Linked DNA regions of Rhinolophus ferrumequinum. The protein of the gene in region 2 interacts with the protein of the main gene of each other region in a pairwise test. Links are inferred from orthologs where the notes say so. Each region holds a gene or a part of one and is shown on either strand. Other genes may lie near its edges.

The links.
Region 1: the proteins of CTNNAL1 (region 2) and RNF135 interact in binary tests that used the Homo sapiens proteins (3 or more experiments, as listed by UniProt). The two-hybrid records come from large-scale screens. The link is inferred for Rhinolophus ferrumequinum from reciprocal best matches to the Homo sapiens genes CTNNAL1 and RNF135.

Annotation. Positions count from the first base shown.
Region 1 is NC_046304.1:20,583,936-20,592,089, forward strand, and holds the start of RNF135 (E3 ubiquitin-protein ligase RNF135), read left to right. Parts: upstream 1-4,268; 5' UTR 4,269-4,340; coding exon 4,341-4,682; intron 4,683-8,154.
Region 2 is NC_046295.1:62,086,409-62,094,646, forward strand, and holds the start of CTNNAL1 (alpha-catulin), read right to left. Parts: upstream 3,553-8,238; 5' UTR 3,467-3,552; coding exon 3,326-3,466; intron 1-3,325. UniProt on the Homo sapiens protein: May modulate the Rho pathway signaling by providing a scaffold for the Lbc Rho guanine nucleotide exchange factor (ARHGEF1).

The DNA.
Region 1 (8,154 bases), on a different chromosome or scaffold from region 2:
GAACCAAATGAAACTCTAGGACTGAAAAAATACAGTATGTGAAAAAAAAAAAAAACTCAGCCCAACAGTAAATTGGAGATGATTGGGTATCAGTGACTTGAAGACAGTAATAGAGCAATGGAAATTATCCAATTTAAAAAACAGGGAAAAAAGGGAATGAAGAAGTGAAAAAGTCTCAGTGACCTGTAGGACAATATCAAAAGCTCTAATTTACATGTAATTGGTCTCAGAAAGAGAAGAGAGAACTATTGAGGCAGAAAAAAATATTTGAAGATATATTGATTGAACTGTTTCCAAGTTTGGTGAAAGACGTGTAGAGACTCAAGAAGCTCAGTAAACTCCAAGTAGGATATATACAGAGAAAACCACATCCACATTCATTGTTGTCAATCTGCTGAAACAAAGATAAAGATAAAATCTTGTACAAACTGTCAGTTATAAAAACAGTCACAGGGATGTAAAGAACAGCATAGGGAATACAGTCAACAATATTGTAATAACTATGGTATTAGATAGGTACTAGACTTATTAGGATGATCATTTCATAAATTATTAAATATCTAATCACTATATTGCACACCTGAAACTAATATTGTATGTCAATGTAATTGGAAAAATTTAAAAATATTTTTAAAAGAATAAACAATTCCAATTGGAGAAAAAAGAAATATCTTGAAAGCAGCCAGAAGAAAATGATATACAAGGTATGGCAATTAAGTTCGTGAATTCATCCTAGAAAAAGTGCTACATACCTCATTGCTGAGTATCACTATGGTCAACTTCGAAGTACTTCCCTTGGGAAGCTATGCACCAACGCCAGCACCTAGTCCACCCTTCAAAGCAATTTTTTAAAAAATTATTTTTAAAATTATTTTTTTAATTGGGGAATATTTGGGAACAGTGTTTTTCCAGGATCCATCAACTCTATGTCAAGTTGTTGTTTTCAATTTAGTTGTGGAGGGTGCAGCTCACTGGCCCATGTGGAAATCAAACCGGCGATGGTGTTAGGAGCACTGCACTCTAACCACTGAGCCCAGCGATTCAGTTGCAAGCTCAAGCAGTTGTTTCTCACTGGTCCATGTGAGAATCGAACCAGCGACCCTGGTGTTATGAGCACTGTACTCTAACCATGGAGTGAACCAGCCACCCCTCAAAGCAATTTTGGAACTCTTTCTGGAATGGCCATCACAGCTGTCATCATACTACCCTTGATGTCCTGAATATCATCAAAATGTCTTACTTTCAATATTTCCTTTATCTTTGGGTAAAGAAAGAAGTCTTTGGGGACCAGATCAGGTGAGTGCGGAGGGTGTTCCAATACAGTTATTTGTTTACTGGCTAAAAACTCCCTGCCAGACAGTGCCATGTGAGCTGGTACGTTGTCGTGATGCAAGAACCATGAATTGTTGGCAAAAAGTTCAGGTTGTTTTCATCTAACTTTTTCACGCAGCCTTTTCAGCACTTCCAAATAGAAAACTTGGTTAACTATTTGTCCAGTTGGTACAAATTCATAATAATTTGTGAATAATAATTTGTGAAAAATAATTTGTGAATTATGATTTCTGATATCAAAAAAGTTTACAACATCATTGCAACAAGTTCGCTAACATAATTGTCAGACCTCGTATGCATATTTTTGTGGCCGAGAATTATTACAAAGTGATAAAAGTGATTAGAAACTGATAAAAGGCTTTCATGCACATATATTACTATAGAATATAGTTCTGTGGATAAATTGGAATGGAAATACAAGTTCAAGAAGATGAAAGAATGATACAATTTCCGATGTAAATGAAAAACTTGTTCAAGTATTATTTTTTTAAACTTTTATTTATTTGTGTTTTTCCACAAGCCATCAGCTCCAAGTCAAATAGTTGTTTCATTCTAGTTGTGGAGGGCACAGCTCACACTGGCCCATGTGGGGACTGAACCGGCAACCTTAGTGTTAAGAGCACCGTGCTCTAACCAACTGAACCAACCAGCAGCCCTAGTTCAAGTATTTTTACAGCTAGGGTTGAATACTTCCACCCTTTCTCCTTTTCTTGTAATCACTGCATGTTTTTGCCTAAAACTTTTAGGAGGTGCCCAAGAAAAATGTCTGAAGACCACTGGTTAATCCACCCTCTCAAAATACTTGGGTGTGTAATGGAGAAGAAAAGGAGAGGTACCTAAAGGGAGGCTTTTATCAAAGGAGACTGCATTCTTTAAGATGGGAAATTTGAGCTCGTGTGTTGGGTTATTCCTATTTTTCAGAAAAGAGAGGATCAGAGAAGCTATGAGTTTACGCCAGATGAGGAGACTCCGCAACAAAATCCAGGTAATACAGTTGACCCTTGAACAACACAGGTTTGAACTGTGGGCATCTACTTATACATGTACGATCCTGGGACTCCACAGATGCAGAGGCTGGCTGTATGCATTGATCTACAATAGGGCACTTGAGCACTTGAGTGGATTTTTGTAGTAGAGGGGGTCCTGGAACCAGTTCCCCCACCCGTGGATACTGAGAGACAACTAAGTGTTGGGGGAGTCAAAAGTTACATGTGGATTTTTTGACTGTGCAGAGGCTGGCACCCCTAACCCCTGAGTTGTTCAAGGATCAACTGTACCTCAGTCAGGATAGGCTATATTATGCTGCAGCAGCAAGCACCCACTATATCTCAGTGACCTGAACATATCTCGTGTATTTCTCTCCTTTACTACACATCAGTGTGGGTTGGCAGGTGATCTGCTCATCTTAGCCACTCAACTACTCAGGCCCCCAGATGATGGCTTCATCTCTGTAGTCAGGGCAGATGGCAGAGATACAATGACTAAGTTTTTTTAAGCTGGTAGGAAGTTAACAAGTGTTACTTCTGTGTGTTTCCAGTGGCTCAGAGAAGTGCCAATCCTACCAGGTGCCTAGAAAGGGAAACTTCGATGAGCAGCGCGAATAGGTAAATTCTATTGACTACTACCTGTCATTTCCAGTATTGCAAATTGCCACACGTTTGTATTATCTGGTACCTACTTTGAGACTGGATAAGACCGGGGCAAAATAAAATATAAGACATTGTTAGTTCATTTCAAAAGATCAGAGATGGGTTCTGGTCTCTGCCACTCAGTTATTGCTCTGTAAGTCTGGAAGTTCCTTTGCCTCTTTGGATCTTTGGGGAGGACTTGTGCTCTTCCAGTTGCAACGTTTTCTGGATGTAATGAGCTTAGGACCGGAGTAAGAGCGAAGGAAGAAAGCAAGCCCAACCAGGACCAGATGTGCTAGCTACAAAAAACCCCCACTGTCTAGTATTTTCGTCCCGAAGCCTGTTGTGTTAACGTGCTTTCAGCCAGCAGACAGCAGTACTGCTTTCAGCCAGCAGAGAGCAGTAAGGAGATACCACATTATAATAGCGATTTTAAAAGTCTAGAGTTACTCAGTTTTGCGCGTTCGAATCACCTGGGGGAGGTTTTTCAAAAATCCTGAGTCCGCGATGCACCGCAGACAAAGAAATCAGACTCTGGCAGCGGAGACCGAACATTGGTATTTTAAAAGAGTTTCCCAGCTTTGTGCGCTGGGTATTCTTGAATCCCTACTGCTTGTTAGAGGGGCTGGATGATACTTAGTCGGCACATCCTCTTTTTTTTTTTTTTGGACTTGGCTACCAGGCACTCCTGGCTCTGCCATTTATTACGGTCCCTTGTGAGGTTGAAATGGGGTCAAGATTGAAATACAGATTGACAAAGATTATATGTCCAGTCAGCTTTAGATGATTTTCATAAAGTATTTTGAATACAAGCCCCTTCTTTTTTGGATCAAGATAAAGGGCTGAAAAAAGAATACCTGACCAGTAAGATGGAACCAGAAAATTCAATATTTTTTTTTCCTTTTTTAAATTCCTTCTTTTTTTTTTTTATTTATTGGGGTGACAATTGTTAGTAAAATTACATAGATTTCAGGTGAGTCGGCACATCCTCTTGAAAGAGTTCTGGAATCGAATTCTCTGTTGTTTCTTCTCCCAAGAGCTGTCAGGGTTGCATTTTAATGGGGGGACATCAAGCTAGAGAAAATCTTCGGGCATCAGCGGGCTTCCTAAGGCTTGGGGCGAGCTGATTTCCCAGCGCAGGAGGCGGTGGTGAGGACTCGCTCTAGCCAGAGGGCGCTGCAGGCTGGGCGGTGGAGACTCTCGGCTTTCAGCGGGACCCGAGAAAGGAAAAAAGCTTGGATCGCTACGAGTAGAGGAAGAGGCAGCAAAGGAGGAGGGGAGAGGAAGAGCAAGGGAGGAGCAAGGGAGGAGCCGGAGGAGACGTAGCGCGGGCGGGCGGTCCCCACTGTGGCCCTGCTTCCGGACGGCGGCCTGGTCACAATGGCGGGTCTGGACATCGGACTCACGGTGCCGGTGTGGCTGGCCGAGGACGACCTGGGCTGCATCATCTGTCAGGGCCTGCTCGCCTGGCCCGTTACGCTGCCCTGCGGCCACAGCTTCTGTCGGGACTGCTTGAAGGACCTGTGGGGCGCAGGGCGCCACTGGTCCTGCCCCACTTGCCGCGAGGGCTCCGAGCAGCAGCTGGAGCTGCGGAAGAACACGCTGCTGCAGGACCTGGCGGACAAGTACAGCCGGGCGGTGGGCGAGCTGGAGGGCGGCCCGGGCCCGACCCGGAGCCCCGGCCCCTCCCCGCGACCCGCGCGCCGCACCGGGCTGCAGAAGGTAGGGTAGGCGGGTCCGGGTTCCCGTCTCTCCGTTACCACTATCTGCCCACGCTTCCTGCACCGCTTTCCCCCATGGATCTTCCTCCCTCCCTCATCCTTCCTACTTTCACATTACTTTTCTCCATCTAAAAGTAGAACCCGCTCTTTGGAAAGTTCAGAAGAGTATGAAGAAGCAGAAAAAAGTCCAAATCTCCTGAAATCCTTTCAATTTAGCTGCTATACACCTTGGCATATTTCCATTTCTTTGCAGTCTTTCTGCTGTCTGTGTCTCTGGCAATTTTTTTTCTGTTTTGTTACTTCGTTTGTTCTGTTCTTTAGATTCCACATATAAGTGAGACCGTATGGTATTTGTCTTTCTTCGTCTGACTTATTTCACTTTGCATAATATCCTTGCACAAGGTAAAATTTCATTCTTTTTTTTAAGGCAGAGTAATACTCCATTGTATATATGGACCACTGTTTCTTTATCCAGTAATCTTTTGATGAGCATTTTGGTTGTCTGGATTTTTTAATTGTGGTAAAATACATATAACAAAACTTGCCATGTTAACCATTAAGTGTACAATTTAATGCCTTTATTATATCCACAATGTTGTGCAGCCATCATTACTGTCTATTTCCAAAACTTCATCACCACAAACAGAAACTACCCACTAAGCAGTAACTTCTCATTCTCCCTCCTTGCAGCCCTCCCTGCCTCTAATCTTTCTGTCTCTCTGAATTTGTCTACTCTAGATGTTTCATGTAAGTGCAATTTGTGTCTGGCTTCTTTCACTTACCATAATGTTTTCAAGGTTCATCCATGTTGTACCATGCATTGGAACATCATTCCTTTTTGTGGCTGAATAATATTCCCTTGCATGTATATACCACTTTTTTTTTAATCCATTCATACATCAGTGGACATTTGGATTGTTTCCGCCTTTTGATGATTGTGCGTATTATTGCAGTGAACGTTGGTGTACAAGTATCTGAGTCCCTATTCTCAGTTCTTCTGGGTGAATACCTAGGACTGAATTTGCTGGGCCGTTAGTGTAATTATACGTTTAACCTGAGAAACAGCCAAACTATATTCCACAGCAACTACATCATTTTACATTCCCATCAACAAAGTTAGACGGTTCCAGTTTTCCCTGGCTTTTTCTTGTGGGACTTAGGTGGTTTATTGTGTCTTTCAACTAGAATCTTTTGTCCCAAACATCCGCTATGGTAGTTTAGTTCAGCTTGCAGCGTTTGCCTGAGTTAGGTGAAACAAAGATGAGCACACTGTGCCATTCCTTCAGGCAGCCCCTAGCCAGGTTTGAACAGACATACAGGACAATTTCTGAAAAAGGTCTGCTCTGCACCTTCCAGAACCAGGACAAGGGTTCCAGGATTCGTGAATACTGAGGGAGTGGGGATGGCCAAATAAAAACACCACGAAACTTTCCTAATGCCAGGTTGCTCTTTTTTGATTCAGTGTTTTCCAGAGTTCTGGCAAAGTTGGTTCTGATTGTTTCTGCTTGTTTTTCAGTGTTTCTGTGTGTGTGTGGCGGAGGTGGGGGGGTGAGGGGGGTGGGGTGCGGGGATGAGAGCTTAGAGTAGCCCACTACACCCGATTGCTAGTCTCTGCAGTCCTTTTAAATAGAGTTGAGGTCATGTTGTATAGGCAGGTTATGTCCTCTTATTTATTTATTTATTTTAAGTAACTATGGTTTTTGTGATTAGTTTCTTAATCTTTTAAACCTCAGTTACTTTTTTAAAAATTTTTAAGTGTGTTTTTCCAGGACCCATCAGCTCCAAGTCAAGTAGTTGTCTTCAATCTAGCTGTGGAGGGCACAGCTCACAGTGGCCCACGTGGGGATCGAACCAACAACCTTGTTGTTAAGAACACCGCGCTCTAACCTACTGAGCTAATCGGCCGCCCCGTCCTCTTTTTTTAAAAAAACTTAACTAACAGATTTTATTTCTTAGAGCAGCCCTAGATTTACAGAAAATTGAAGAGGTGCTCCAGAAAGTCCTCACACACCCCTCACGTTCCCCATATTATTAATGTCTTGTATTAGTGTGGTGCATTTGTTACAATTGATGAACCAATATTAATACATTATTATTTACTAAAATCCTAGTTTTCATTTACGTAGGTAGGGTTAACTCTTTGTGTTGTATGGTTCTATGGCTTTGACAAATGCATGAGGTTATGTATCTACAATTATGGTATCATACAGTTTTAGTGCCCTGAAAATCCTGTGCTTCTCTTGTTTGTACCCCTCACTCCAAACCCTGGCAACCACTGATCTTTTTGCTGTCTCTTTAGTGTTGTCTTTGCCAGAATGTCATATGCTCATAGTTGGAATCATAGAGTATCAGGCCTTTTCAGACTGGCTTCTTTCACTAAGCAAAATTAAGATTTGTGGCTCGATAGCTCATTTCTTTGTATTGCTGAATAATATTTCATCGCATAGAGTGGACCTTATACCTGAGACAGATGCCTTCCCCTGCACCACTCACTGCCAAATCTCCAGGCTGTCACCCTATTTCTTCACCTTTTGATGGACATGCTGGTTGCTTCTATTTTTTTTTTTTTCAATTATGAGTAAAGCTTGTTCTCTTAGATTATAAATGCAGCATTATCCTTCAGGTCCTTAAAATTCTTTATTAATGTAGTTTATAGTGACCGACTATATGTCCCATTGGCTTTTACATTAAAATGATGGTCTTTGGCTGGTGGGATATTGGATGATTTGAAACATTTCTTCTTTTCAATTCTCTGCATGTTCTAAATTCAAATAAGTGTGCATCTCTCTTATGGATAGAAAAAGCAATGTAATTATTTTTTTTAAGTTTTTGATTTGCTCAGACGCCTGGAGAAGGCCTCCATTCCAGAGTTCCAGCTGCTTGAATTTTAGGAGAAGGGCCTTGAAATTTAAGAGCAAACAATGTTACCAGCGGTCAGCCACCTCCCTCTCTGAAATAGCCTGGTTATGTCTTCCAAAACACATACAATTTGAGGGACACCAGGGCTTCTTAAGAAATGAAAAAGGTCCTGGGTCAATTCCAGTTTTTGAGGTTCCAGGAAAATTTAAAATAATGAAAAATGTCAAAGCCAAGTTATAAAAGCTCTGGTTTACTTAGAGTTCAATGATGAACACCTTATATTTCTGTGACTCTATGTAGAACCCCTGTTGGAGGTAATGCAAAGTTTTCCATTGAGGCCCGTGCCCAGCCTGCCTCTGAGGACTGTCACCAGGTCTTGAGGTTGTTGCCAGAATATGTTGCCTGCCTGCAAAACTTACTCCCACTCCCAACCAGGCAGCTGAGCAGAGTAAGCTCTTTAAGTGGAGTTGTTTAGCGCTCTCTTCTGAATGTGTGTTTTTTCTTTTAAATTCAAATTTATTGGGCTGACAATTGTTAGTACAGTTACATAGATTTCAGGTGTACAGTTCTGTAATACGCCATCTATAAATCACATTGTGTGTTCCCCACCCAGA
Region 2 (8,238 bases):
CTCATTTATTCAGATGTACTTTGGCTTTCCATAAAATTTTAAAATTTTCTCCGCAACATTTGACATCTCTTGTTATACATATATTCCTAGGAACCTCATTTTTATTCTACCCAGTAGTGTCTTACAATTAACTTTTCTGCTTGTTATTAATGTACAGAAATGCAGTTGACTTCAGTATCCTACAATCAGTGAACTTACTAACGCTCCTAATTTTTATAATTTATTTGTAAACTCTTGAGTTTTCTATGTAGATAATTATATCACAATAAGAGTCTTAATTTCTCCTTTCCTATCTTTCCACTTTCACTTCTCCCTGTCTTGTTGCACTGGCTAGGATTTCCAGTACAGTGTGGAATAGAAGACGTGATAGCAGGCATCCTTGTTTCTGGTTTTAAAGGAAATGTTTGTTTTAAATGTGACTTGCTGCCATGATATTTACTGTAGGTTTTCTCTAGATATACTGTATCAGGTTAAAGAAGTTTTCTTCTGTGACACTAGTTTGCTAACTGCTATTTATCATGATTCGAAGTTGAATTTAATTGAATGATTTTTCTGTACCTATTAGCTAGAAAACACATATTTCAAATGTAGAAAATTGTATACATGTGTCTAATATTGACTCAACCTTGCATTCCTAGAATAAAGCCGGTAGTACCCATAACTTTTTACTTGGAGAGTCAGAAGAGGTTAGATGGTATTAGAGTAGAAACGACCTGATTAAAACTCAGTCAACTGTACGTACAGTGCCAGTCCTATTTGCTCACCTCATGACCCCGTCTCCTCGATGGCATCCTTCCGACGGCTCCAGGCCTTCTCTGAGCTTTTAGAGAACATCTCATGTTCATTTGACACTTGGCATGTGCTATTATTCTACCCATGTCCTGTCTCCCAACTAGAATACAAGTCCCTCCAAGAGCAGCAATTAGTAAGCACACAACTGCTTTCTTAAAATGCTTTAAATAATCTTGTGGATAAGAGGGTGAAGCATGACTTGGATAATAATGGATAATCCGCAGAAAAAGAGACTACTGAATACGAGTTTCTAGAAAGCTGCAGTTTTAATCCACTGACATTCACTGAAACTTAAAAACAGCATTCTTAATTGTACTCCACACTTTCCTGCTTTGTTAACAGTTATTCTGGCCATGCTACATTTTTCGACTGGAAGCATAATTTAACTTTTCCCTGTTGAGTACAGTCAATCATTAGAAATATCAATTATGGTATTGTGCTAAAGGTATTGCTGTGGGTACATAACGAGTGGGATGCAGAACCTCAGCTATAGCCTTGAATGAGTCATTAACAGGGAGGAAAAAGAACTGGCATTTTCCCCCTTTGGCATTGACCTCTAGTTAACTCAGCCGCGATTCACACATTCCTCCTCCACTCCTTACTCCCTCCAGCCTCTTTCCCCCCAGAATTACACAACAGAGCTGTAGGACTGATACATTTTTAGCAGTGGGACTGTGAAAAACTATCATTTCTCCAGATTACAACAACCTTCCAGCTTGTTTTTCCATTGTGGATCTGTTCTCTGTACCTCCTACAAGCTGACCTCTTCACTGCGTCCAATCTCTAGAAAGGACACAGCACATGGTGCAGCTAAGGGCATATACTCTGTAGCCAGGTTGCCTGCGTTCAAATCCCAGTTTGACATTTATAGTTGAAAGTGCCATGACAAGTTATTTAACCTCACTGCCCCTCAGTATTCTCATCTACATAATGAGAATAAACATCTATCTACCTCATAGGACAGTTACGAGAACTAAATGAGTTAATATTTATAAAGTGCTTAGAACATGGCCTGGTGCACAATGTTAAACAAATGAATACTGTCAAGTTGAACTCCACTGCGCTCTGATCTTTGTGTCTCTTGAAACTACTCCAGTAGTTTTGGTTGCAGTTGTACTGGTGGTGAAGGTGGTATTCTTTTGGGGGAGGCGACACAGCATACATTACTAACTGATCCTAGCCCTCCTTCCCACTGGTCAGGGCCTCTGTCAGACATGGAAGGGAAGGCGGAGGGGACTAGTCAGATGTTTTCATTCACTATTCTGTTAGCCAGTCTAAAATGAGCACATGTGAAGAAAATGGAGCTGTTTATTTAATTGAGCATAACAGGAATCTAGGGACATGTGTGACTACCGTTTTCAAATATTTGCAGGGCTGGGATGGAGAAGAGACAGCATGTAAAATTGTTTGGACCAGCTCCGGGATCCCTATCACTGAACATGTTTAAGCAAGGGACCGGTGACCAGGTGTGGAGGATGCTGTAAGAAAAGAATTTTTTAATTTAGAATCAGATAACCTTTAAGATTCCTTCTACCTCTAAAATCTGGGCAAACTGTGAGTCATGAAGACGTTGCCATCTAGTCGTGAGTCACACGTCGCCAACGCTCCTCAAGGCACAAGATTCTTCACTCCCTCCAGCGAGCGCTTGGCACAGAACAACAGATCTAGGTGAGGAATTCTAGCCTTCGGGCTGTGTATAAGCCGGCTCACCGTAACAAAAACTTTTCTAAAACTACGCGCGTCAATTAGCTGATTGCAGACTTCTGGTATGACCAACAACTACAATGAAGCATATTATCCCACATGAGATTTGGCAAAAAGATGTGCGTCCGGATGAACTATCAGACAGTCCTTCACTTCCCTCTTCCCAGGCGGGACAAAAGCCGACTGAAGCGAGCAGGCAGGTTAAGGGGAAGGGGCAGCGTGGCCCGGGGTGAATGGGAGCCTGGCGAGCCGACACACACGCAGGGGAAAGGCACAAAGGCCTGCGGGAGAGCACGCTGGACTTGGAGGCCAGTAGGAATGCCCCAGCCAGAGTGGCCACCAGTACGGCTTTGGGCTGGGGATGCAAACGTGTGCCCGCAGTGGGTTAAAGAGCGGCAACTAGCAGGGCCAGCGAGGGCCCCGCAGGGACCCTCTCTGCCCGTGGGAAGCTAGGCTTGGCGGCCCACCAGCGGTGGGGGCCTCGCGGGGCCGGGGCCGCCGGAACTGCAGCCCCAAGGCGGGTCCTATGGGGCAGGCCGGGCAGCGCACCTGCCGGCGGGGCACTCAGGTCTCCAACGGGGCTCCCCGCCCCGCAGCCTCCCCTGCAGGTCATCCCACTCGGCCTCGCCGCCGAATTTCGGAGGGTCCCGACTCCCTCCGCCTCCGCCTCCGCCAGTCCCCAAGCCCAGACAGGCGGTCCGGCCCCGAAGTCGCAGTACCAGTGCGGAATGTGGGGCAGCGGCTGCCTCCGGCCCGGGCCCAGCCGCGCGAGCAGCCACCGCCATCGCGGTCCGAGGGAGACAAGGGGCCGGGCTGGGCGCTACTTTACCTGAGAAACCAGCGGGAGCAGCGTCTGCTCCACCGAGCGCGTTTTGATCTCGAGTCCTGAGTCCAAGGCGAAGCCGGACGACCCCGAGCCTTGCACTGCGCCGGCGCCACCGATGCCGGCGGGGCCCGGAGAGGAGGCCATGGCCCTCCGCCGGTCGCGCTGCCCAGGCGCCAGGCCACTGCGGGCCCGCCGCCTGCCAGCCAGCCCGCCTGCAGCGCGATGCACCCGCGCCTCCCGAGGCCCCGCCCCCAACCCGGCCCGCCCCCGGGATAGCCCCACCCCCGGCCTGCTTGGCAGCAGCCGAGCCCCGCCTCCGGAACGGCCCCGCCTGTGCCACGCCCCCACACGTTTTTGTCCAGGGTCCACCTTGCAGCCTGCCCCCTACCCAGGGCCCCGCCCCGTCTCCCTCTCTCGCCGCTCGTGGGACCCCTCTTCTGTGGACCTCACACGCGTCTCACCCCACTAGAACATAGAAGACACCTGAGGGCTTTCCGCCTCCACGTGGCCTCTTACCACGACAAGGACACCGTCTCCGGCAAAGCTTCCAGTCCTTCTGATAGGTGACTCGTCCTAACTCCTATTCCCGCGAAAATTTCTGGAAGCTGCGCTGGGAGTTGCAACTAACTGGTAGAACAGAACCAGAGTCCGGTCTGTAGGGAGGGGATTTTACCCAGCGACAGGAATTCTACCTGTAATAGTCTCTCTGGGGGCCCGTTTTCCTCCACGCTGCTCCTTTTCTGACTGCATCTTTCTCACAAACACTTTAAACTGGACTGAAGAGGAAATATTTGGTAATGTAATTAAGGAGTATCTAGGTACTCAGCAAGAAGATAATGGTTTGGGTATCTTTCAGGCTACTGTTCAGAATTATTCCTGAAAACGAAATTAAAGAGCATATGGAAAAGCTTCACCTACTGTTCAATACTATTAACTTTTTAAAACTACTTTTCAAAATTACTTTTCCCCTGTTGCCTACTACAGAAGAGTTTAACAGATCTGTTCAGTTACTGAAAAGATTATTCATGGGTGTATACTTCTGACTAAATTCACTTAAGAGTAAGGCTAAAAGACAGAACCCCTGCGTGACTGGGATGGGAGAGCTGAACACTTCTTACCCTAAGGATTCCAGGAGCAAAGCCAAAAGGAGGTTGTCAGAAAGTACACACTTTCTTAAGGAGTCTAGGCTTAAGCAATAGACTGAGAAGCATGAAGAAATATTTTGTAAACTAGCACATATGGTATCTGCCGATGAGAAACTATTAGAGTAGAAAAGACTCTGAGGCTGGCTAGCACAGCCTTACACCTTGGCCAGAATAATTTCTCCATCCATAATGTCAGATTGATGAGCTGCAGACCGCCAACTCAAGGTGTCAGCACGCTCTTTTCCAAGCAGTGTTGAAATGTGGTTCGCGGTACTTCCGCTATGGGGTCAGTTCCACCTGCCAGTGCTGCACGGATATCTTTGGTATTGAGTACAGCCATAGCTTAGGCTTGTTTTGTTCATTCAAAATATGCAGTTCCTTTCTACAACTTTTTTTCCCCTCTGATTATTACTTCCCAGCCGCCCACCTCACCATATCCTTTTCTACCACAAGGCCACCTTATCCTGTGCACTGAGGGCCCCAGCTTCAGCCTGGGACCCTTTCACGTTGTTAAGGTGAAAGCCCAGCATTCACTCCCAAAACACATCTTCCCTTATGTAAGTTGCCCATATTTCATAAACATTCAGTGTAGGCACTGGAGCCAAAGGGAAAGATGTCAGGCCTAGCAGACAGATGGTTACATCTGTAAAAGTCTGACTTCACTCAAGATCAAATTTCTCAGCAGAAATCAGACTAAAGTGACCACCTGATTCATTCAACACCAGTCATTTTATTTCAAAATATAAATATTTTACATTTACAAAGAAGTTACATCGGGAGGTTGTCAAAGCAAGTTAGAGCTAAGAAACAGCATTTGTGTGAGAATAAAGATGTATTATTGTATTTGAATAATCTTTTTTACTTTCAAACCATCTCTACTTTGCCTAAGAATGCAGAGATGATACATTTTCCAAAATTACATAAGCAATCACAACAATATATCCAATCTTGGTTTCAAAATCAAATGGTATTTGAAATACACTCCAGTCCCCTAAAGAAGTGGCGCTGCAAAGGACAAAAGAAGGATTTTCTTTGGGATAGCTATAATAGGAGTTACACTTTCTGGGTCTGCAATAACAAAGAAATAGTGTTGATAATAAACCAAAATGATGTTACTTTAAGATTTGTATCCACACCTTTCATTGTAAAATATAAAGCTGGAAGAAAAAATAAGAAACCTGGTGTAGTAGTAAATAACTCTGGACTTGGAGTCAGAAATTCTGAAACTGAATTCTGGCTCCATTATTTTGTGGTATAAACTTAAGGGGAAAAAAGATTACAAAAAAACTTTCTGAGGCCGCCAGTGTCTCTGATAATGTTGAACACCGGCCTATCTCACAGGGTTGTTACGAAAGCAGTCTGAATAAAGTGCCATACAAAAGCGTTATTAAAATGTAATATCAATTATCCTCACTGTATCTGCACATTAATTGATCCTTGAAAAACTTTGACAACTAAACACAAATACTGATTTTACACACCATAGGTGGAAAAGAATCTCTATACTTTGCGTATAGCTCTGAACAGCAATTATGTTTTCTTTCTAATATCTCACTAAACTTTGAGATTTATTACAGTTACATGGTACGATGGTAACAAATTGACCGTTCAGAATTTCCATTAAGGATGTCTTCTAAAACAGCTGTAAACTTACTTGAGAGCCTTGTTTCCCAAAGGACCAGTGGCACTTTGAGATGCTCTAAGAAAACAAGATGGGGGCGCAGTTTAAGGTCGAGTAAGTCTAAGTAAACATCTCCTCTTAAGCTAAAGAAAGAAAATAAACTCAGCGTGCCTCAATTTTAATTGACCATGGCGTCCCCTCGTCCCCCCCACACGTTTGTTCCCTTATAACCTCTAATAACAACCCTTTGAACTATGGCTATAAGGAACGTATTTTCCCAAAAGCTACTCATCTACGAGGAAAAGGGAAGCAAAGTAGAAAAACGGACTGAGAAAAAAGAAGTATATGCTATTCTGAATTGTTACTAACTGGCTCTCTGTTAAAAAAGCCACTTTAACCTGTGGGTTTCTCTAGAAAATGACAGAATCACCTAATTACATAAGGCCCATTCTAGCACAGAATTTCTAAGACTCTAGTAGACAGGTAGTTTAAAAATGATTAAGAGAACTGTCAATCAAGTCTATCAAAAAATAACTGCTCGGTGGTTTCAGATAGTATGCACTTTTCGAAGGTCCTCTAAAATGTAATAAAATGAATATATTTTGATGGCAAAATATGTAAAGGCAAGAAATTAATAAAAACAAAAGTACTTGTTGTGAACTGGCACTAGCATTTGGAAAGCATTTGGAAGTGTGTTGTCAGAGGCTATTTCCACTGTGAAATGCCTACTGTAGTACTCTTGTAAGGGTCTCGGAAGACCCTTAGAGGAGACTACAGGACAGGACCAGAACACGGGAAGTTCTGACGGGGTTTTTCCTTGTAAACCTGAGGTTGAAAGCTCCAAATCGCTCACCAAAATTACTTTGCTCTAATCTAACCCTTCATGGCCTGAATTTCAGAGTATTTCTTGCCCAGCAGTGACACATCCTGAAGTGCTAAATACAAAGGAAGTGACAACTAGTGGTACTAGGAAGTCCTGAAGGGTCACAATCTGCTCATATTAAGACCAAGGTCAGCTGCAGGACCTCATCTGCAAGCCCTGTAGCAGCCCCTTTTAACTGGAATGAACAGCTGCTATTTCCAAGGGCTACTGGGTTTTGTAAATACAGTATCTCCATAACACTTCTTGGGTGTCCTCCCACTCACTGTCCAGCGTCAGTCTACACCAGTCTCACCCTGCCAACTAACCACCTCCAATGGAAGAGGGTGGTAGGATTCCTTGCAAATTGAAAACTAAATAAGTATCTAAGGCAGTGTGACAGAGATCACATCCAGGAACAGACGGTGTGACAGGTATTTCGGAACTGAAGCAGGACTTATATGACATGGAAAGAGGAGCACATCTGTGTGGAGAGCTTTTATCTCCTCCACCCATTCCCCCATTTGGTTTACAACTGAGTAGTGAATGTGAAGTCAAAACTAATCTTTTAATAAAGCTGTAAAATGCAAGACACTGTGAAAGGATTTCTGTCCTCAGTTTTGACTGAAGCTACTTCTTCATCAATCCATTTTCTGTTCCTAGTGAAATTTCCTCTTTCTGGGTCAAATACTAATTAACAATCTGAGGATGGGTCATCTTTGAGACCTGAGCTCCTACCTCTTCATACCACTTGATCTCTATGCCCTGTGGAATTCTGTAAAACCTCACTGGATCTGAGGGGGCATGTTTCTGAGGGTTCGAGCTGACCGGCCTTCCCAGGCTTTATGCAGTTGCTGGAGCACCGGGGCAAGTGCAGGTTTCCTAACAGGACTGTGGGAACATATCTGTTCCTGATATTTCAGGATGATATTACATCACTGCTAATTTTGGTAGCTCGAAACTATTCTTAGGGCTCAGCATTTCCCCTCTAAGAACCTGGTGTTCATACTAATAATTATAACCCGCAATAGCCATACATTAGCTCAAGTTCAGGTTTTTGCAACCACTTTAAACAGCTAAAAGCATTTTGGAAGAACACAGTTTGTATATGCACCCTAGCTCATTGTATGTAATGTTTGCCTCTTACGAATACGTGCTAATTACAGCTATAAACTTACTAGTATACAAGTAATAAAAACTAACTTGATTTCTTTTTTAACCCTTTTAAAGCAAAAGTTTTCAATGTAGCAATACACATGATCTGGCTAAGATTTAAGGTAAGAGAAGGCCT